4 linked regions of the Xenopus tropicalis genome follow. The protein of the gene in region 3 purifies or fractionates together with the protein of the main gene of each other region. This does not show direct contact. Links are inferred from orthologs where the notes say so. Each region holds a gene or a part of one and is shown on either strand. Other genes may lie near its edges.

Region 1 (5,727 bases), on a different chromosome or scaffold from region 3:
AATTCCAGTGTCAGTAAAGAAGGTAGACATAATGAATAACATGCTTTTCATTTGCACATAACAGGATTTTTACATACAGTCCAAGAGATGCAAGAGGTTCTGTTGTCATAAGTCATGATTTAACCACTGGCATTGTTACACTAGGAATCCATTAGGATAAATTACTACTAGGGACATTTTACAGCTTTTTCTAGCTGTTGAACTTTAAGATGTCCTTCAGCACAGGATACAATCCAATAAATCTTGGCTATAATCTCTAAGCGCTGCTGCCATACCTTTTTATAGCTCCTCTGTTGAGTTTTAAACTCCAATCAAGTCCTTGGTAGAGAAGGTAGCAGCTAGTGAGGACACTAACACAATCATTACAGTTGAGCAGAATATACCACGCTCCATTACAATAGGCTGTACAATATAATAGAAATTGATGCAATACCAAACAAACGATGATAAATTTACAATATTGCAAACTGATGTGCACCCTACAGAAGAAGTCCCTTTAAACCTTACATATCAGATCTTTCCTTACCCATTTTGCCATCCTCCACAAAGAGCACATGTAGAGGGATAAGACAACTGAAGTAGAACACGTCGATGTTATTTTTCACAGCCACCTAGAATACACAAAAGAGTAGTGTGAAACGTAAGAATTATGGCAGGTTCACAGCAATCCCTAACCTAATGTACAGGCTTCACAACAGCCATTAACACGTTCAAAGCAGCCTTTCAGTCTTTTAGAATTCACCTTCTCAGCTACATGCACAAAACCAACAACTGTCTACAGTTTTATAAATAAGTGGATGGCTTTTTAATTACAGTTGAGTATTTTTGTGTGTGCTAGAATCCAAATGTATTGTGTGTAGGTTCTTTTTGACGCATCATATGTTTGCACTATGATACAACTATTGGCTAATAAATATAAACATTACATAACCTTCTGGGGTCACGTGTACATATATGTGTTTAGATAAGAAATGTCCTGAAGCTTGCTTGATTTAGCATTTACTCTGAATACACTGCTAACTCCATCCAAACTATACTTAGAAAGCAGCTTTTGATGTGCTCCCCAGAGTACTCATAAATAAAAGAAACCCTGACAGCCAGCTAATACCCAAGAGACAGGACACTGCCTCAGTATGGCCTTAGCCAAGTCAATTTTCTAGCTACATCTAACTGAATTATAGTACATCAAGTGGCAGCTTCAATGACACATCTCCTATCCACTGAGTTATATGAAAGTGTGCTATGGTTCTGTTTTATTCCACACCCATGTACAGTACAGCAGTGCTCCAAAAGTAACATGCATTCAACATGCATTAATCAATATCCATGTAAATAAATGTCATCTTCTTTAAAAAAACATCTTCCCTATAATACTTCTTTATTTGGGGATACTTTTACAGAAGTGTTAGAGGTCAAGGAGACAGTGTTGTGCCCCCACTCCTTATCTAATAAACTGTAAATTAAACACCTCAGGTCTAAGTTACTAATAACAGTATGTAGCTGCAGACCTAGATTATACACCAGTAGCATCTTTGCTTTCTTTTTAAAGCATAATTAGCCAGAATAAGTGATGTGTGATTATTCTAATTTCACCTTAGACAGACAGTGGGTCTTATTTATAAAGATCTCAGCACCAATAAAGTGCTCTTTATTAGTTGACTGGAGTTATACATTTCATCTATAAGCAGAAGGAGCACCACTACATGTATGGACACTAGGCAAATCTGCACCTCAGCAGTAACCCATAGCAACCTATCAGTTATTATGTTTTTATAGCCAGCTACAGGTTAAACACTGAAAAAAATCATCTGATTGGTTGTCATGGGTTAATGCCTAGGTGCAAATATGCCCAATGTTTATAAAGGACCCCCCAGTAGCTTATGAATTTCGAAAGATATACATAAAATGTAGGTTTAAAAAAAGGCATACAATCTAGGCTGCAAAATCAAATCCCAAAAAAACAACGAATACAAATTTTGTCTCAAACTGTAAAAGCTATAATATAAATAAAAAGCAATAATAGAGTTGCAGGTCTGTCATGGGTACTTGATTTCTGTAGATGCCTCAGTAAAAATCAATAGAGTAAGCAAGTGGATCTATGAGAATACATAGATTTCTAAATGGATATTCAGTAAATTTGCTTCAATTAATGTCAGCCTCGGCTTTATACACATATTACAGTTCTTTATTGTTGTGTCTACTGCTATCTGGCTCTACCAAGGTTGTTGTTGGGCAGTAATGTAGGTCAGGGTTGTCTGACAACCGAAACATGATTTTTATGACATGTCCCCCCATCATAACTTCAATACAATCAAGCTTATGAGCAAAGTGTTGGCTGGTATGCAAAAATGTTGGATGCCACTACATAGGTGATAAAATCCATGGTCTTAAAGGTTTTTGTTGCGGCAATTTAAAGTGGCAACTCCATTGTTTTAAAAATCATGATTCGTCCTGGTCCTGGGTTTCCATGAAAAACTTTTATTAATTCTACAGAAGCTATTTAAATCCCAAGTTAAATATCATCTATCCACAAACATTTGCATACATGCACGCACACACTGTTTATGTTATGAATGGTAATAAAGATCTTCAGCCCCTACTAATTAACTTCATGATCACAACCACTACTGTAATGTAAAAAAAGAGATATATATTACCTGGAGATTGTTAAGGGGCTCCATTTTCATAACAGGCCCAAGGGTGTTTAGAGGAAGAGAAATGTCAATACTTTGGTTGGGCATGAGGGGAGTATGAATCGCCAGAGGGGCACTGGGAATGACACCAAAGCTAAGGGAAAATAGAAAGAAATTAGACACTTCTGAACAGTCCAAATGCCATGAAATAATTATTAGGGTAACATTCCTTAGAGGAGAAGGAAAGGTTAAAACTAATTAAGCTTTAACAGAAATGTCTATGTAAATACAGATAGTCCTCTATCAAAAGAAACACAGTATTTCTTGTCTCCTTTTTTGTAAATATGTTCTTCTGGTATCTGACTTTAGAGTCAGCGCCGTTCTCTTCTCTCGCCCCTCTCCTGATTCCTCATCCCATAAGGCTCTTTACTCAGGTATGGTAATGCTTTCTGCAGAATAAATAGTGTTCTAGGTGGCACTAATATGGTGAATCTATTGGCAGTAAAATCCTTCTCCTTTAAGCCAACTACTGTACCAAAATGTGCTGAGAAGTCGGCATGCTACAGAAAACAGCTCAGAACCTGCAGTAAATAAAGCACTAGGGAAAGCAAGTGGTTCTCACCACTCTGCCCTACAGTGGCTATACAGCCAAAATCCAACTGCTTCCATGTAGTACAAGTACCAAAGCATGGGATAAAAGTGGCTAGACTGTGAAAAGCAGTGCACTACACAGAGAATGTAAATCAGCCAATTAGATGACATAATGTGTGCTTCATAATCCAACTGTCCAGGGTCCACGCATACAGCAACCTTCAGTTGACATTACATTAAGAAAATGAATCTATCACAACACCTATTAAGGTAGGCAAGAAAAGCAGTGGTCCAGTCTCAACTAAACAGAACATGCAAATGTTTGTCTGTCCTCTTTCCCACAATCTTTGTGGGTCTTCTTTACCCTTTATATTAGTCAATATTTGTTCCTAGTTTGCATGTACTGAAATGCCCCTTCAGAACTGTACAATTTTGTGTTAAATATCAGTGTTTTATAAATACTTCAAAACTGGCTCACAGATCAGAGATCTACAGAACAGTTCATTTATGCTAAATGTTATTTAAATGTGAATATTTCATGGGAAGAAGCATTAGTAAGAATGATCAGTTACCATTGGGTGGATTTCTCATATGTTTGTCCTTTTCTAACAATATTGTTAAATATTAACATTATATCTGTATTATATTTTATTTATATGCCATGGGGCATATAGAATTGGACACAAGGAAACAAAGAGCCCAGAAAGATAAAGTAATAAAATATGAAAAATGACTGCAATTCTGAAGAACCCAGTGGACTGATCTAGAAGCTAATCTTTGTGGGTGAATGTGATGAGGGACCGTAGGCTATAAGCTTATACACAGGGGCAGGGACAGATATGAATGACAAACAATCCGTGTAAAGCACTGCATAAACATGGTAGCCCTATATACATAACAGATAATAAAAAATTCTAAGTGTCTTACCTGTTCTTATTAAACTGTATTGCAAAGTCAGTCATGTGCTGCAAAGCTTTGTTGGTGAAACTCATATCCATGTAGATGTGTGCTTGCCTGTGGGAGAATGTACCAGAGATCTCCAAGCCTTTGGCTTTTACAGCAGGTAACCAGACCTGGGAGAAAAATTCCAGGGAACCATGAGTTTTAAGAGGTATTATTTACATCACAAGTTCATAAACCCTCATACATTTACCAGCAGTGTGTACCAATAGCTGTAAATGCATTAACTGCAATTCAATAAATATAATTAGAATTTATTTCTTCCAAAAATACACAGCCATACAACATAGATCTGCACTCAGAAGGTAGTTAAATGCACTTTAAATTAGCTCAGACTGCTTTGAAATAAGTGTAGGCCTGTGAATTTGCAAATATACAATACAACCTGCTTTTATGTGCTTCAGTACATCTGAAGATTCCCAGTGTTTTACAGAAAGCATAATGACAGTACCAAAATAATTTTGTCATAAAGAATTTTCTTGTTATATTCTATGAAAGTGTGGGCTTATTTATAAAAAAACTTTTTTCAAAGCAGATTATAAACCAAATGCAGAATTTTACTGGTTTTACCACCACCGCCACTTTATGTTTATATCTAAGGCTAATGCCACACAGGGCCAATTCTTGGCCTGTGGATAAACATAATGTCGGCTTCCCGGTGGAGGCACAGGGAAAAATTGATGCCAGTGTAGGGGCTGATTCTAGGCCTGTGTTTTTCCACAGGTTGAGAATCAGGCCCTTTTGGCATTAGCCTTAACTATTCTGGTCTGACAGCTAAGACTGTAGCAAAGTATAAGGAGGAACAAAAGTAAATAGGAGTGTGATCAGCTGGGGACTGGGAAAGATTGGTAGGCATTGGAAAACAGGTTTCTGGAATGAGAAATGTACTGAGGCAGAGAGGGAATACAACTGGGCAGCTTCATCTAGTTAGATTGCATGTTTATTTGCTATACAGCCAATAACAATACTGCTCAGTAACAGTCTACAGAAATAAATGTATAGAACCAACATACAGCTTTTTGTGATACATATCCTCCAGGCGCCATCCCAATACCAGAAGACAGTTCAAACAAATCATTCAGTCCACTGCTAACCACCGCTGGTGTAGGGGACGGAGCAAATGTTGCTGGAACGGAGGAGGGAATGAAGGTTTGCCCAACCTGGGATACAACAAAATAGCAAAACAACCTTATAACTGCCAATTGGGTGTAGATTACAGCTTTCTCATGCGCTGTGCGGTTACTTACAAATACAAAGAATGAACATTTTTTGAGTTAAAGTTTACTTTAACTCTGCTCCAACTACGTTATAATATAACTAAATGAACCTCAGGGAGTTTATATTTTTTTCAGTTCAAAGAATTGCAAATAGCTCTGTACAGTTTAATGCCTCATCTTTTTACCTGCAGAACAGATACCTTCCTTTTAGCAACTCGTTTATATGAATAGCAATGCTTTCTAGGCAGCACTTTAAGTAAACCATTGTTCTCCACTGGAAAGCTCTTACAAGGGAGAGTTGAGGTGGTCATGGACAGTAGTAAGGT
Region 2 (5,061 bases), on a different chromosome or scaffold from region 3:
TCCAGAAATATTTACCTCAGTTCCTTGAACTACACGTTACAAATGTATCTTACCAGAAATTAGCCACAGAAACGTGGTTTGTAGGCTTTATCATGCTTCATGATTGAGGACACCACTAGAACATGGCTATACTATAAAGGCATTTCATGAGACATATGCCTTTGACTAACATCTTCTTCTGATTCACTGCATACTTCAGCTCAAAATGATGATTAATTTGTCAGACCCATATTGACTGCCATGCTTGAGAACCAAACTTCAAGCAACCCCAACCCTTAACACACACATATACATACAGCATCATAAAATATTATTCAATATTGCACCAGCAAAAAAAATGTAAGCAGTTCAAAAGGTGCTTCTACCAGTTGGGTTGCCGAATAGTTTACCACTAAGGTCCTACTTCAGAATTAAAATGGGTTTCACATTTAAGGAGCCTTTACTATGATATTATTCCACAAATAGACATAGGGAAAATATTAATATAATATAGGAGATTTCGCAATAATTTCTAATAGTCCCACACAAATAATGCTGTTGTTGGAATGTTATAAGGATCTGGTGGGAAAGATGACCCTATAGTTACATTTGGTTCTTTTAAAACATGATCCTTATGGAATTAAGTAGTTTTTCATTTTTATAATTAATTGTCATCTTAGTTAATCACTGTAGTATCTGGGATTTGACATCCCCTATTGAATGTCTGGGCCATTCAGAAAGGATTGACTAGGCTTGTTGCGGAATAATAGTGCTGCTTTTAAGAAGGCATATGATCAAGCAATTCAATTACATAAGCATAATTTTCTTAACCAGAAAAAGAGAAGGGGCAAGGAAAAATGCTAGTCATCTTGAGAAAACATCCAGGTGTCTTTCTCCAGAATTCATTCTAAAAAGTTCCTAACAGTCAAGCTATTGTTTAAGTTATTTATAAAATCATTGTAAGAAATCTCTCATCTCATAGAAGGCTGACACTAGTCGTAAAACAACATTGCTCACATCAAATATTTCACTTTTTGGGTGAATTGAAAACACATATGTTGTCTTAGACATACATTCTAAAAAAATATTGTATGAGTCATTTAAGACTGTAAAATTTGTATGAGCTACTTAAATATCAAAGCGATTTTCCCTCGCCATATAAAAGTTCATCAAAAAAGTTTGTTAAATCTCATTTGAGAGAATTTAGTACCACCTCCACTCTTAAAATGTGCCTTCTGGTAATACATCAAGATTGATTAGATCTCTAAATCATCAGGTCGAGGTCTGCTACTTGCATGACTGCTTGCTCTACTAGATGGTCTTTGGTCCAATATAGTCAGGGGCTGCATCTCATGTCCTGGTGCCATTTTCTTAGTATTCTGATGTTCATCCGAAAAATCAAAAGGCTGTGCATGAGTGTTAGAAATTGTGCTTCCAGCCTGCCCCATCCTGTTTTGTTCTGCACTGTAATTGGCCCAGTTTTGTTCACTTGCTTGCTTGTTATAATTGCGACAAGAAGAAGGATTTCTTTCTCCAGTAACAAGTTTGTAACCAGGTGGAGACATGGGAGCAGTTGGAGAAGAACAGCCATTAAAATAAGCATATTTAGGGGAGCCACATTCCTTTCCTGGAACCACAGAATCATTTGTGGCAGAATATGGGTCTTTTTTCCCCTTGATGCCATCTTTGATACTTTTGTAGGTGACATAGAACAGCTCGATGATATTTAGGGCAAGAGAAACTATAGAAACTATTAACATGAACCAGATAAAAATGGTCTTCTCTGTGGGTCGAGAAAGGAAACAGTCCACTTGATGTGGGCAAGGATCTCTTTTGCATGTGTAGATGGCACTTAAGCTAAACCCATACATGTACCATTGAATGAAAATAAAGCCAACTTCAAAGACTGATTTAAACAAAATGCTGATGATGTAAGTGCGAAGAAGTCCACCTCGCATCTTAACTTTTCCATGCTCTTCAAGGCCATATTTGAATTTCTTTATTTCAATTTGTTTAAGGTGCATGTCTACATTACCACCTTCATTCTGAACCATTTTAAGTTCTTCTTCTTTCCTGTTTAGCTTCTCTTCTTTTCTCATCAAGTAAAACACATGGGCTAAATAAAGGAGGGTAGGCGTTGAGACAAATATGATTTGAAGTACCCAGAAACGCACATGAGAGATCGGGAATGACTTATCATAGCAAACATTTTCACAACCTGGTTGTTGAGTATTGCAGACAAATGCTGATTGTTCATCTCCCCAGGCTGACTCCACTGCTGTCCCTAATAAAAGGATTCGAAATATAAATAGGACAGACAGCCACACCTTCCCTCCTGCAGTCGAATAGGCTTGAACTTTGTCAAGAAGTCTTCCTAAGGCACTCCAGTCACCCATGCTCAAAAGTGGTTACCTAAAATCCCAAAAAAGTACACATCAGTATTATAAATAAAAGTAATATCATTAGAGAGTAACTGTGGAACAACTTCTTACATTGCAAGCTACTGAATGATTGAATGTTCTTAATATTTTTAGGCAATATTTAGGCAATGTTCATTACACTCTAAGCAAGTAATTGAGTAAAAGTTATGGTGTTTTGTGAAAAATGACCATATATATAGTTACATTGGGTTGAAAAAACACCATCAAGAGTTTATCAAGTTCAACCCTTCCAAGTAAACCCCAGCACACATAAACCTATACTTACCTATCTATATACTCACATACATAAACCATATATACCAACACCAATTTAGTATCACAATAGCCTTGGATACTATGCTTATTCAAGAACTCATCCAGGCCCCTCTTAAAGGCATTAACAGAATCTGCCATTACAACATCACTAGGAAGGGCATTCCACTACCTCACTTGAACAAACCACCTACCCTGCTTTAAATGGAAGCTCCGTTCCTCTAAAGGGGTGGCCTCTGGTGTGCTGGTTGTTTTTGTGGGAAAAAAAGAACATTCCCTATCTGCCTATAATCTCCTCTAATATACTTGTACAGAGTACCATAAAGTTATAATTCCTATTTTTTATATCATAATACTTTTACCACAGAAGGAACTCATAGATATGAAGAATGCATGAAAAATGCAAAATATAGAGATTGTTATTTATTTTTTTGTTCGAGTAATGAAAGAATGTAAGAGAGAAATATATACATAGCATTAAAAGTTATGAAAAGAAAAAATAAATTGAAAAAGAAGAGTTGCAAAGAGGAGTGGCAGAGATGAACATGGTATAAAAATGGACATACAAAGAAGGAAGTAAAAGCATAAAAAGAAAGGTGTTGAGGTACTGCAAAGAAAGAAGATCATTTATATTTTACAAGACTTTATTTTGTGTGGTTCTGGCACTTAACGATGATATAAAGCCTTAAGGCCAAAATCTTAAAGATCAACCATCTTGTTGTTATCTTACATTTTGGCTTTCCTATGTTACACTGTATGCAAACGTAATGTCGGAAGATATATTTATTTACTGAAAACTGTGTTTAAGCTTTTCAATTTCAAATAGAAACAAGGAAGCTTATAATACACAGGTCACAACCCTAATTTTGCTCAGCTACATCTCCCAGCATGCTTTAACCCTTAACAATATGGTAAAGTATGCTGGGTTCAGTTCAGCAACCACTGACTAAAGTATAGTTGAGCAACAATGTTTTGTTCACCTTTAAAATGAGATGCAAACAGTGTTGCTCACCCAAACTTAACTTAAATTTTGGTAGACTATAACCCCAGTATACTTTAACAAATTATTAAAGGTTAAAGCATGCAGTTCAGCAACATAAGCAATGCTGTTAAAAATGTTGCCTTCTCTGGAGGCAGTGCCCTACTATATGCAATGCTGCACCCTCTTTTCTAACCTTCAACCTACTGACATTTGATAGTATAGTATAATATAGGCAAAGTAAAATCTCACAATAAACTCCCTGTTTTAGAAAACAACAATGTTAATTAGGTAGTGCTATTAAGCAGGGCTCTTATTTATTGCATAATACTTTGGCTTCTGCCATTCAGTTTGGATACCAGTGTTGGAAAGCTTTGGGAATCAATGGAAGAGTTTCTGAAGGTTGTATACGTTATTTAAGTGTACAACCTTCAGTGTATAACCAAGTGTTTACCCTAGGCCAGTGTCGGACTGGCCCCCCAGGATACCAGGAAAACTCCCGGTGGGCCCAGGTGTCAGTGGGCCCTCCTGCTCACCCTACCATTTGCCTTGTATCCCTATACCATGGCCATTACTCAATTCTATATGAGAAGAAACTAAAGAAATGGGGGAAAGGATAGATAATAGTATGTAAAAAGAAGTAATTAAGAGATTAAAGAAAGTGAATATACAGAGAAGGGGAGAGTGGGCCTAAGGTCTAAGGTTTTCTGGTGGGCCCTTGGCACCCCAGTCCGACACTGCCCTAGGCCTGCTACTCTTATGTAGTGCAATCATAAACTTATTAGTTTAATTTATGATTGACTTTTATGTAACAACAATATTGTTATTATATTATGCAAATCTCTTCTTTGGAAAGTTTTTCAAATTATCCAAAAAGTGTTTTAATACATTATTAACATCAGTTAAAGGAATTGCTAAGAACGTGCTTGCTCATTTGTGCACTTGCAAGAGTTAGAGGAAAACTATACCCCAGAATGAATACTTAACCAACAGATAGTTTATATTATGTTAAGTAATGGGCTGTGTGCTTTCTCAGGGATCACATGACAGGAAATAATGCAGCTCTAACTGTAACAGGAACAGGAAGAAGTGTTTAAGCAGAAGGCAGAACTCTGTCCATTAATTGGATGATGTGACCTAGCATGTATGTGTGCCTTGGCTTGTTTGTGTGCACTGTGAATCCTATGATCCCAGGGGTCATCCCTTAATTCTTAAAATGGCAATTTTCTATTTAGAAAGTAGTAGTAAGTAAGTATATTGGAATGGTTTATTTAGATGAAGCAGGGTTACATATGAGTTTCTTTATGCAATATATATTTATAGGGACTTGTTTTGGGGTATAGTTTTCCTTTAAATTTGTGGGAGTGGTTCCAGTGAGATGCTGATCTGCTAATAACAACAACTTTCCCT
Region 3 (6,358 bases):
CTGCTTGTCAAATGACTTTCATACCAGATATCCTCAGTGGCAATAAAAATCATTAGGAATAGTTTGCTAAATTAATGTAGCATACACTCAGAATGCCATGTATCTTCCTACTAACTACAGTTCCTTATGTACCCACATTTAGGCATGTCTCTTTTAAAATAGATAGACCCACCCCATGGGCCCTAAAACACATTCATGTATGTGAAAATTACTTATTTGCTGTTGTCTCTGCATAATGAGCCCCACAGCACTGCCCCCTACCAACATGATGACCTTCCATGCTACACTTTAATGCTGACACACTTTTTGGGGGGATGGGTGGGCTATTTAGTACTCTACACCCAAAAAATCCACAATTCAACATGTATACACCCATATACACTTTTTATTTATAATGTTTATCAGTGTCCAGTGTGACGAGTGATTTTATTGCATACTGCACTATTCTGGATTTATGCTTTACGGTCACTAAAGACACATATCTTTTGATACCTTATCAGTTTGTAGTAAAGTTTGTAGTAACGTTATACAAAGGAGATATCAGATATATTTATTGTTAGAGCATGTCATCATTGTTCGCAAGAACTAGTAGTAGGAGGTGCTGTAATTTAGCAAAATATGTACAGTTTCACAATCCTTGCTTTACATGGGGTTACCTTACGGCTAGATGAACTGAAGGCAGGGTTTGTTTCAAAAGTCAAATGTCACATGTAGAATATTTTGCCAATGCATTTAAGAGCTAGTAAGGGATAAGTTTATGTTACATATGCACTTTTTGGAGCCATTTTCCAGGGTATAAGCTTTGGAGGATTTCCTTGACTAAGGTCTCAAGGAAGACCGTAACGTTGGAATAACAAAAAAATTTTCAACATACCTTTAAGTCCTGTGAGTGTGCCCTGCTTTATATGACAGTCTATAATATTTATTATATATATATATATATATATATATATATATATATTAACGTTAACGTAAACAAAGCTTTAAGTTTGGATGTAGAGTAGAGAGACAGATAGCATTTCTTTTCAGAATGTGTACTTTGAAAAGCTATATTGATTTTTGGCCCAATTTACTGTTAATGGGCTTCTTACTACAAATACATCTCTGGCAGTGTGTTGTGTATGCAGAAGTAAAAATGTCAGCCATAAAAATGTGTAGGTGCATTTTGGGCACATTTTAATAACATATGGTTTCCTAAGGTCAACTTGCTCCTAGGGCAGTGGTTATCAACCTTCCTAATGCCACAACCCTTTAATACAGTTCCTCATGTTGTGGTGACCCCCAACCATAAAATTATTCCTAAGACCATTAGAAATATGTGCTTTCCGATGGTCTTAGGCGACCCCTGTGAAAGGGTCGTTCGACACCCAAAGGGGTCACGACCCACAGGTTGAGGACCGCTGTCCTGCAGAATGCGACATGAATGCATACGTACGTGACTCAGTGTACGTACGCATTTGCGCAGCACTTGTAACCAGAAATCCACAGGGGATCTACTGGTGGACCACGATTGACACATTGGCCACCCCCGGTTTAGGGGTTTACTTGTCATTTAGTTGTAATCTTTATAACAGCCTTGGTGTATAATTACATTCTAAGATTTAAACCCCCATTGTAATGAGAGCAACTAAGTTTTTCCAGTACAGGTATAGGACCCATTATCCAGAATGCCCGGGACCAAGGGTATTCCAGAAATGGGGTCTTTCTGTATTTTGGATCTCCATACCTTAAGTCTACTAAAAAAATCAGTAAAACATTAATAAACCCAATAGAATTGTTTTGCATCCAATAATGATTGATTAAATCTTAGTTGGGATCAAATACAAGGTACTGTTTTATTATTAAGATAATAAATAGCGGAGCACCAGGGGGATAAGATTAAAATCCAGTCTTTATTCCATCATAGATAAAAGGCACATGCACATCCCTCAGGGTCTAACGCTTAAAGCGTTAGACCCTGAGGGATGTGCATGTGCCTTTTATCTATGATGGAATAAAGACTGGATTTTAATCTTATCCTCGTGGTGCTCCGCTATTTATTATCTTTCTATTTTTGCTTGGCTTTTGGACCTTTGGGAGTGGGTCTGCGTGACAGCACACTTGGGCTTGCGGTAAGTGCTCCCGTGTAATGTAATTTTTAGTACTGTTTTATTATTACAAAGAAAAAGGAAATCAATTTTAAAAATCTGAGAAATGGATCTGGGATCCATTTCTGCATAATGGATCCCATACCTGTAATCCATAGCAAGCAATAAGATGTAAAAAGGTGACCAGTAAATGCTACCTGCTAATTTGTTGCTATTGTTGTTATTGCAACAGGACAAAGTTAGTGGGGGCATTTCTAAAAACCGGGAAAATTGCATATGGGGAGTAACCCCATGCGTGTCAACCAATCACATGCTTGCTTTCATTGTTCTACCTGCAGCTAGCTGAAAAAAATATAGACAGTAGACACATTTGCCCATGAGCAACCATTGTTCTACCTGCAGCTGGCTAAATAAAGCCAATCACTGAATGGTTGCTATGGGTTACTGCCCATGGTCAAATTTGCCCAGTGTTGATAAAGGAGTCTCACTGACTGGTTGCTTGGGGCAAATTTGCCAAGTGTTTATAAATGAGCACTATTTGATAATATAATCCCAATAGTTACCTATTAGATAGATACCTTTTTGCGGGACAGTTGTCATTTTTTGGTCCAGTGCAGTCCCTCACAAATCAAATTTCAAGTCTTGAAAAACAAGACTGCGAAATCATTATTCACATTGTATAAAGGGCTTAAACGACTGCACCCAGCTGGAATGATGATGTAGGGCTGCAATGTCCCTGCATAAAACACTAGTACACCTATTGCTTCTTTACTTGCAATACTGCCATTCCAACCATGTAAAAAGCGATGTTTTGTTAAATAGGCGTAGTATTTTGAGGGCGTAGCCACAAAGTGCCTGTGGACAAAAGTTTCCCTGCTGCAGGTCCTTATGTTCCTTTTTTGATTATTCACATGTTGGGAGGTATGCAGTTCAGCAGCTTTAAGCCTGCATGTAAAGTTTAACATTCTTTTTCTTCACCCCAACCACCCTATATTCCTCTCAAAAATTGTTGCCAAAATGTGCACAGTCATATCTTTATAGACACAAAGCAGAACCACAAGTACTGCGACATTCACATGCATTTTATCCAGGAAGCCCAGTGAATTATTTGAAATGTCAGAGACCTTTAAAGAGAAATTATGTCCCATTTACAAAAGGTTTTGATTTCCATGTAGTTTTACAAATATTCCCATACACGCCCATGTTATGTTGCTGAATTGTGCAATAAGAGGTTTAACTGGTAAACTGGTGGGCTGCATGTCATGAAACGGGTATAAAACTTACATATATGTAGCAAGCGACAAATTGTGAATCCCCATGTATCACTCAACAAGTTCGCCCACTGGATCAGTCTGATGATTCCCCACTGCCTGACAGTCATCTGCTACTTCTCCCACTGACTGCAAAGACTGAAACTAAATATTGCGCAGCTCACGTCCATCTTCATGGGTATCCGCAACATTTATACCATGAAAAAGCAACTTTCTCTGTTTCCAAAGCAACACAACAGACACACCAACCGAGTATACCGAAAACCATAGCATACGACCCAGCGACTTGCTAAAGTGTCGTACCAACTTCCTCATTATACACTACTTTCTGAAGCTTGTGTTGAGAGTGTAAAAGCTGCAGTTCAGCAATAATTGTGAAATCCATACAAGTTAGTGTCGCCCACATACTCTGTCATACTGAACTCGAATGGCTATGATAGTTTCAAACTCCTTCTCCGAGTGTGTCACCGCAACAAGAACTGGTCGGGTACAGCAAACACTGCTCCCGGTACACTCCCAGTGGGCCCCGGTACACTGTTGCCCACAGAACAACGCAACTTTGCCCTGAGTAAAGTGTTACCTGTGTCCGGGGCAGTGAGGCCGCCATGCTGCTTCCGACCCGATCCGCCCATCATGCACAGAAAGAGGGGAGGGAGAGTGTGTGAGATAGTGGGTGGGGCCACTATGAGGAGGGGACTGTGTGAGAGCTAGTGGGTGGGGCCACTATGAGGAGGGGACTGTGTGAGGGCTAGTGGGTGGGGCCACTATGAGGAGGGGACTGTGTGAGAGCTAGTGGGTGGGGCCACCATGAGGAGGGGACTGTGTAAGAGCTAATGGGTGGAGCCACTATGAGGAGGGGACTGTGTGAGAGCTAGTGGAAGGAGCTGCTGCAAGTAAATATGGGAGAGCCTGAGTGCTAATGGGATGAACCAGTGGGAGGTGGAGCGCTGGAAGTGTAAGGAGAATGGGGTCACGGGACGGCTGGGAAGTTGGGAACTGTAAGGAAATGTCAAAATGTGTTTTTTTCCAGCCGGGCTGTTAGGGGGCGCTTATAGAATATAATATACTTTATTTAGAAAAAGTATTGGTGTGTTTCTATACTTTTCCTTGCAAGGTGTGGTGGCAGTTATATTGCGAGGTACCTGTTTGGGACGTAGAAAAACCTGGGATACTTACCCTCACTGTAAAGCCTCAGAGACCTGGGCAATGGCAGATCTGACATTGCACACCACAATATGTGGCCGAAATAACCAAAAACCATGTTTAGGACAATAGAAATGTTGACACATTCACAAGGTAAATAGGAACATTGTTACTTAGGTTGAAAAAAGACGTACGTCTATCAGATTCAACCATAATGCCTATGTATAACTTGCAGGGCTGGAACTAGGGGTAGGCAGAAGAGGCAGCTGCCTAGGGCGCAACGATTGGGGGGTGCCAGGCAGCAGCCTCGCCTGCCTACCCCTAGGTTGCATCGTGCCATTTCAAATCGCACACCGCGCCCCCCGCGCACAAACTGCGCATGCGTGTCAAAACACACGGGGAGGGTTTGCAAAGTAGCGGTGCAGGGGCGACGTAGCCAACCGGGTTGCCTAGGGCGCCCGGTCGGCTCGGCCCGCCCCTGATAACTTGCCTAACTGCTAGGTGATCCAGGGGAAGGCAAAAAACCCCATCTGAAGCCTCTCTAATTTGCTGCAGAGGGGGAAAAAGTTCCTTCCGGACCAGTCCCTGGATCAACTTGTACTGACAGCTATCTCCCAAAACCCTGTTAACTTTTAATTTCATAGAATGCAATTCTAAGCAACTTTTCCATTGGTCCTAATTATTTTTTTTTTTATAGTTTTGAAATTATTTGCCTTCTTTTGACTCTTTCCAACTTCAAGCCAAACAACAATTGCTCTGCAAGGCTTTTATTGTTATTGTTGCTTTATATTATGTTTAGGTCTTCTTCTATAAATATATCAGTTTCTCATTCAAACCAATTCCTGGTTGTTAAAGTAATTTGGACCCTAGCAACCAGATAACTTCTGAAATTCCAAACTGGAGAGTTGCTGAGCAAAAAAGTAAAATAATTACAAAACCACAAATAAGACCAATTGCAAATTGTCTCAGATTATTACTCTTTACATAATACTAAAAGTTAACTCAAAGGCTAACAACCACTTTAAAGCATCTGTTCCCTAACATATTGGTTGGCACAGCATTAAAATATAAATGCCAAGTGATCGCTGCACTTTTAAATCCTATTTATATATGATAATCTATGATAATGTGGGCATGGTTGTAGTTTCTATTAAGGCACCTGAGGGCCCAGGACTAGGGCAGCATCTTTAGGGAACAGATTCTGGCACTAGCAGACCTTCTCCTCTATAGTTTGGAGGTAAATTTAAAAAACGTTTAAAAAATCACCCTCCCCAGCTGCAGAAGGGGAATATGGACAAAGAGGGATGGGGGGTGGGATAAAGCACTGAAAAACTGTGTGCTGGACCCCTCTGAGGGCTTGTTACGCCGCTGGATCTTGGGCACCAATATTATTTTTTAAAAAACAGCTTTCCACTGGGCACTTGTTGTTAAAGGCAATGGCAAAGGGGGAGATTAGTCGTCCACAGTTAAATTTTGACTACCATGGGCGACTAATCTCCCCAAAATGCCTTCCCACCAGTAATAAACTAAATCATGGGTGGAAAGGTGTATGTAGTTCTTAGTTTTCCAAAGTTTCCTGCATAGGAATCATTTGGCGACCTGAGAAAATGAAATGCAGCATATGCTTTCCCACCTGCGATTCACTTGTTGGGAAGACTTTTTGGGGAGATTTGTTACCTGCTTTAGCTGAGATTTAACTGTGAATTACTAAATTTCCCAATTGCTATTGCCCTAAGGGGGGAGGTGTCAGAAGTGCAGTGTCTAGGGCAGCATTAGACCCAAGCTGTGTATATATATATATATATATAGGAAGGTATAGTTAAATTAAATTAACGTGTATATATATTTTTGTCTTTA
Region 4 (5,727 bases), on a different chromosome or scaffold from region 3:
ATAAGTAGAAGGATAAAAGGAGAGGGCAGACAGTAGGCGTGGGTCCACTTTAACCATCTGAGAAATTCTGACCCTGCCGATTGACAGTTGCATTATTAAATATTGAAGAAATTTGCCTGAGAGCACAGGCAACACATCATGGAGATAGGCAATCTTTAAATGCTTTCTAGGCAGAGAGCTTTCTAAATTTCTTTCTGCTTTGACTGTGCAATGTCCTAGCAAAAGGTTTTGTGTAAAAGCATTACTTTCTAATGGAAAAAAAACATCTGTATGCTTACAGATCAATTAAAAACAAAGGTGCCATTTTACTGAATTGATGTTCTGTACTGCATGTTAATTAGGGTGACTTGCCTGACAGTGAGAGGGTTTCCTTGATTTTTTATCAAATGCTAATGTTTAACATATATCAACTCTTAGGTTTTATCAAATGGAATCCAGTCCACTCCTTTGAACCTTGCCACCTATTGGAAATGTACCTCGAGCACTACCGATGTCAGGTTAGACTACAAGTACAACCCAGAATCCATGGCTATGCCCAGCATCTTGTCTAATGTGCAGGTGTTGGTTCCGGTTGATGGCGGAGTAACAAGCATGCAGTCACTGCCTTCTGCCATATGGTGAGAGACACATTCATCTCTTCTAAAATCTTAGGTTCCCAGAATAAAGGGCTGGCCTTTGGCTACCTGAGGAAAGGTCCGAGGTTAATGCTTATTTACTGTCCTAAATATACATAGAGCTCTGTATAACCTTGTTATGAGAGAATGGGGGCCTGATCTAATTGTGATCCACAAAACAGGGCTTAAACTCCGCTGCCTGATTCTAAAAATGAAACTTCTGGTTGTTGATGGGATGCTGTGAGTTGTAGCTGCAGCTTTAGCAACATCTTGAGGGCCACAGGTTACTGTGACAACTCTATGTACATACATTTATTATATTGGACTGTGAAGCATGCAAAAATGCATTCTTCAGCATCTTCTATAGGAAAAGAACAGGGCCAGGACTAGGGGTAGGCAGACGTGCCTTAGGTGCAACACTGGTAGCCCTAGAGGCAGCCGACCGAAGGAGCAGTGGCCACAAGCGGCAGTTTTATAACAGTGCAGTGATGTCAGACCCCTCTCCCTCACCTTGTCACCCCTCCCCGATTGCTGAGCGCTGTTGAGGCGTCACCTTGGGTGCCCTTTGTACACTCTGCCTGGCCCTGGAAGAGAGATTCCCCATACATCTTTATAGGAAGTGCGGGCTATTGTGACCTGCTGTGCAAAGTGGGACCCACAGCTCTACAGGACCCTGATGGGCTGCTCCCACTGCTACAACCCATTTATATAAAAGGTTTTATAGGTCTTGACGCAAACATACAAGGTAGTACAGGTATAAGGGGAGTCTACTAAAAATCATTAAAACATTATTTAACCATAATAGGATTGTTCTACCTCCAATAAGGATGAATTATATATTTGTTGGGATCAAGTACAAGGCACTATGTTATTATTACAGAGAAAAAAGTATAAATATTTTTAAAAATTTAAATTATTTGATCAAAATGGAGGCTATGCCTGTAATTTGGAACTTTCTAAATAACAGATCCAATACCTGTACTATGTCTAATAAGCCCTTATATTGTGTGTTAGAACCCACTTATTCTTTAGATCGAGACATCAATGTTAAATACCATATTAATAAATTTGCTGTGTTCAGATGTTATGAAGGTTCATATGCTGCTCTTTGTTTTTATCTAGGAATGCAGAACAAATGAAGGCCTTATGGAAAGTCTCTGTAATTTCAGAAAAATCTGAAAATGGAGGCAAGTTCTGAAATATTTTTCTGGCTAAAATTAGCTTTAAAGCCTGTGCCTGATCATACAGAGTCTCCAGCAGGCAGTGTACTGGGAAACATGATTTATTAGAGTGCTCGGAAGATACACAAGCACCTTGATTGAACAACAGTACAGAAAATTACACAGCAAGGGGGTTGTTTAAACAGTTTTTGTTATATATTCAAGTGCCCCTTAGAGAAACACATAGAAAACAGAAGGGACCGTTTACAGTGGTTTAATTCAATGCCTGTGGATATAAAACATAGCTTGCTTATTCCTTTGTGAATATGTTCTGTATTTATCATTTTTGGTCATTGGCCATATACGCAGCATTCCAAGTAGCTATACTTTTAAGTAAATGCTTAAGCATTCGTGGATTTAATTCATTATTTGATTTTCTCTCTTATAGGAGCTGGATCTCTTAGGGCAAAATTTGACCTCTCTGATGGTCCTAGTAACCCGAGCACACTTGCAGTGCAGTTTGTTAGTGACGGATGCACGCTTTCTGGAGTTGATATCGAGCTGGTAGGGACGGGATATCGCCTGTCTTTAGTCAAAAAGAGGTTTGGCACAGGTAAGGGCACGTTCTTATGTTTTAAAAGGAAAATGTTTACAAAAAAAGAACGTTGATTTGTGCTGTGTACAGAGGAATGCCCAGGATAACATGCTACAGTGTGTGTTTATAGATAAGTGTCTGTACAGGGATGATAGGCAATTATATAAAACTTGCTATTTTGGCTAACTATGGTGCGCAGTGTTATGAGACCATGGTACTTATAATGTATGAGCCAGAGTATCAGGACACCTGCCTGTCCAACTTCTCATTCCCAAACCAAGGGTATTAATATTAAGTTAGTTTTCCCCTTTCTGCTATAACAGCCTCTACTATTCTGGAAAGGCTTTTGTCTAAATGTTGGTACAGTCCTGGGATTTGCCTCCATTTAGCCACAAAAGCTAGCTACTATTTTTTCCTAGCTGTTTATAGGCCCATTTTTACTCTAGATTGTTTCCAAGTTTTCCAAGCTGTGTTGAGAAAAGGGTTATGTTATGATTCCTCTGGTATGCTGTGGTGGGGCAAATGAAATGCCAGATGTTTGGGTGGTCATCCTATACCTGTTGGGAAAGTGATGGAGTGTGTGTGAAGTGTTCCTTGGATTTCCTTGTCTCAGCGGGCCCAGTTGGCGAGTTGCATTCTGTGGGAAATGTGGTAGAGAGAGCTTAGGTCCTGGAAGAAATAGGGAACATTTATGTAGTTCCGTGTAGTTTTGTTTAACACTCAAATGAAATAAGAACTTATTTTCAACTTTTCCTGGAACTGTTAGACTGAGACGAAGGCTAGAGTCCTATGTCTCCAGGTATTTTCAAGAATTTCAAGGGGACGAGGGGGTGGGGGAAAAGTCTTAGATAGGTGGTAGGGAGTTGATGAATGCTAGAGTTTTATAGTATCCAAGCTCTGGGGACAGGGGAGTAGGAGGTTAGTTAGGGAGTTGATGAATGCTAGAGTTTTATAGTATCCAAGCTCTGGGGGCAGGGGAGTAGGAGGTTAGGTGAGGGAGTTGACCTATCTGCAGAAAAGCTAATTGAAAAAGACTTTTGGGCTAGAGATGTGGAGAAACCTTTTAAAATGAGGTGATCATGGATGTCCACTGTTAGTTTCCTAGCTTTTCTGTAGGGTGAGAGTTGAGTTATCTTGAAAGTTGAGAAACTTTGCTAGGACAGGTGTATGTCATTGTTGTTCACTTGGTTGTAATTGCAGTGTGTTAGGGATCTTGTTAGATAATAGTTGAAGAAAATCTGGTACTTTGATTCTGGGATGCCAATAAAGCAATGATTGCTACAACGTCCCCTGTTTTCTAGATTGTCTATTTTCTCTGATTGGGTGGAGATTGTTCTATCATGTTCTGTACTGTGCTTTGGAGTTGGATAACTCTGTCTTCCATATTGCTGATCCAGGGGTGGGGTGGAGAAGCAGCAAGCTTGTCACTGTTTGCTGGACAGGTCAGACTCCTTAATTCCAGAAAGGGCTACTGCCAAGGAATCAAGTTTCTACTGTGTGGTCCCTGAATATAAAATGTGCTGGTGTTAGCTGTTGGCCAGAAGTGAATGGGCTGTGTGGGTCCTGGATAGGTGCGGCCTAGTAGTGTCTGTACAATGTTGATCTGTGGCTCAGTGGTTGAATTCCTCTTGTATTGCCCCGCCCTCCGGAAGTCCTCTGCTTAATTTATTTAATAACATATTCCACATCTGAAATTTAGTGTCTTAGTTACTCTCTAATAGTAGTAGTCTGTGCAGGCCATGGAACTTTGAGGTGACACTTCCCTCAAGTACCTCTACACACATTTCAGTGAGTCATGTGACCTCACTATGCACCAAAACTGATGACATCACTAAGCACTGTTTATAAGGATATCATTTACTGAAGTATCTATAGTTGAAAAGCACAGCAACATGAAAGTATGGCTCACTCTATAGTGGAATGCATTGGACTGCACTGTAGGAATGTTGTGTAAAAAGTAATTAAGCATTTTTTGTTTTGTTTTTCTTTCCAGGAAAATACATGGCAGAATGTTGATTTTATCCCATGTGAGATCACATATACGCAGAGCAGCCTTCCTGTTAACTTATCGAAAACTCTTCCATATTGCTGTTTTAATTATAGATATATATTTTTTAATTTTTGACTTATTTTAGAAGGTATTTCTATATTGCTGCCAACTTTGGAACATAAAAAAAAATGCACTTTTTTTAAGGAGTCATTTTGTTGGAATATCTACTACATGATGATGTAGCACTGAAATTTTCTTCAATCGTGGTTAAAAATTATGATTTTTTTTTTTTAATTATTTTATGGCAATATTTTGCATTTCTATTAAGACACAAGTTACATATACAGACCCATGCTACTGTATATAGAATGTATACCATGCGAGCACCTCTGTCAGTCCTTAGCCTTATATTTGTTTGCAAAACTTTCTGGTGCAACTGACAAGTGTCTTTTACATGATCTAAGTTAGTCATGGACAACCCATGCCCCCCAAATGTTGATGAACTACATCTCCCAGGATCCCACCAGCAGAAGACTCTGAGGGTTGTAGTGAAGCAACATCTAGAGGGCTGCAGACTGCTTATGCTTGATCTAATTGCTTAGTATATTAATGGGTTTAATATATGGGTCTTCTTGATTCAATATTAGTAGTCACAAGTGCAGCCCAAACCTGTTGCATTATTAAATGCAGCATCTGCAGCCATTGGGAAGCCTCTGCAGGATAAACCGCATGCAGTGCAGAAGGGATGTGCAGTAAATAGCCTACCATTATAACTAGAGCTAAGAGGGTGTTGGGTTTAATAACCCTGCAGAAAAGCTATACTTTGTTATTTTTGTGCGTCCCACTCAGTTGCCAAACAAATGTGTTTTTGTGCGTAGCACATTAACATGCCAAGCCTCAATTTTCCTGCAGTCTCCTTTATTTTCCATCCCTTCATGCGCAGAGTATATGGCTAAATGGGATACATCATGCCATGCTGGGCTGTAAGGTACTGTGGCCCCAGATGCCATTGGGTTTGTACCCTTATTCATCCTCTCTGGGATGTTTCAAGTCAGACTGAGTGGGGCACTGCAAGGACTGCTGGAGTTGCAGAACATCTGCAGTAAAAGTTGCACAACAATCAGTGCATGTTCCAGTGCAGTATGTCGCATTCTACTCTGGTGGCTCAGCAGCCAAACTACACCCCCCAGCATTTTATGATGATATTACAGATACAATACAATTACAAGGTGCCGCAGAAATATATATGGGAGGTGAGGCATTTCTCAGAATAGAAAAATAAGTCCAAAAGACTCTGTCTGATTTACCTTTCATTTTTATCATTTTTATATTATTTATTTATTAAATAAAATGTAGCTAAGCCAAATA

Evidence for each region.
Region 1: the proteins of eps15 (region 3) and ap2b1 purify together in Homo sapiens (affinity purification with mass spectrometry; 3 studies listed by BioGRID and IntAct, with this or other methods). This does not show direct contact. The link is inferred for Xenopus tropicalis from reciprocal best matches to the Homo sapiens genes EPS15 and AP2B1.
Region 2: the proteins of eps15 (region 3) and gja1 purify together in Homo sapiens (affinity purification with western blotting; 3 studies listed by BioGRID). This does not show direct contact. The link is inferred for Xenopus tropicalis from reciprocal best matches to the Homo sapiens genes EPS15 and GJA1.
Region 4: the proteins of eps15 (region 3) and fcho2 purify together in Homo sapiens (affinity purification with mass spectrometry; 3 studies listed by BioGRID and IntAct, with this or other methods). This does not show direct contact. The link is inferred for Xenopus tropicalis from reciprocal best matches to the Homo sapiens genes EPS15 and FCHO2.

Annotation. Positions count from the first base shown.
Region 1 is NC_030678.2:93,556,881-93,562,607, reverse strand, and holds part of ap2b1 (AP-2 complex subunit beta), read right to left. Parts: intron 5,345-5,727; coding exon 5,198-5,344; intron 4,298-5,197; coding exon 4,152-4,297; intron 2,788-4,151; coding exon 2,658-2,787; intron 612-2,657; coding exon 527-611; intron 1-526. UniProt on the Homo sapiens protein: Component of the adaptor protein complex 2 (AP-2). Adaptor protein complexes function in protein transport via transport vesicles in different membrane traffic pathways.
Region 2 is NC_030681.2:72,393,859-72,398,919, forward strand, and holds gja1 (gap junction alpha-1 protein), read right to left. Parts: upstream 2,376-5,061; coding exon 1,236-2,375; downstream 1-1,235. UniProt on the Homo sapiens protein: Gap junction protein that acts as a regulator of bladder capacity. A gap junction consists of a cluster of closely packed pairs of transmembrane channels, the connexons, through which materials of low MW diffuse from one cell to a neighboring cell.
Region 3 is NC_030680.2:96,318,581-96,324,938, forward strand, and holds the start of eps15 (epidermal growth factor receptor substrate 15), read right to left. Parts: upstream 4,072-6,358; 5' UTR 3,966-4,071; coding exon 3,939-3,965; intron 1-3,938. UniProt on the Homo sapiens protein: Involved in cell growth regulation. May be involved in the regulation of mitogenic signals and control of cell proliferation. Involved in the internalization of ligand-inducible receptors of the receptor tyrosine kinase (RTK) type, in particular EGFR.
Region 4 is NC_030677.2:183,066,770-183,072,496, forward strand, and holds part of fcho2 (F-BAR domain only protein 2), read left to right. Parts: intron 1-417; coding exon 418-617; intron 618-1,736; coding exon 1,737-1,801; intron 1,802-2,222; coding exon 2,223-2,387; intron 2,388-4,362; coding exon 4,363-4,385; 3' UTR 4,386-5,727. UniProt on the Homo sapiens protein: Functions in an early step of clathrin-mediated endocytosis. Has both a membrane binding/bending activity and the ability to recruit proteins essential to the formation of functional clathrin-coated pits.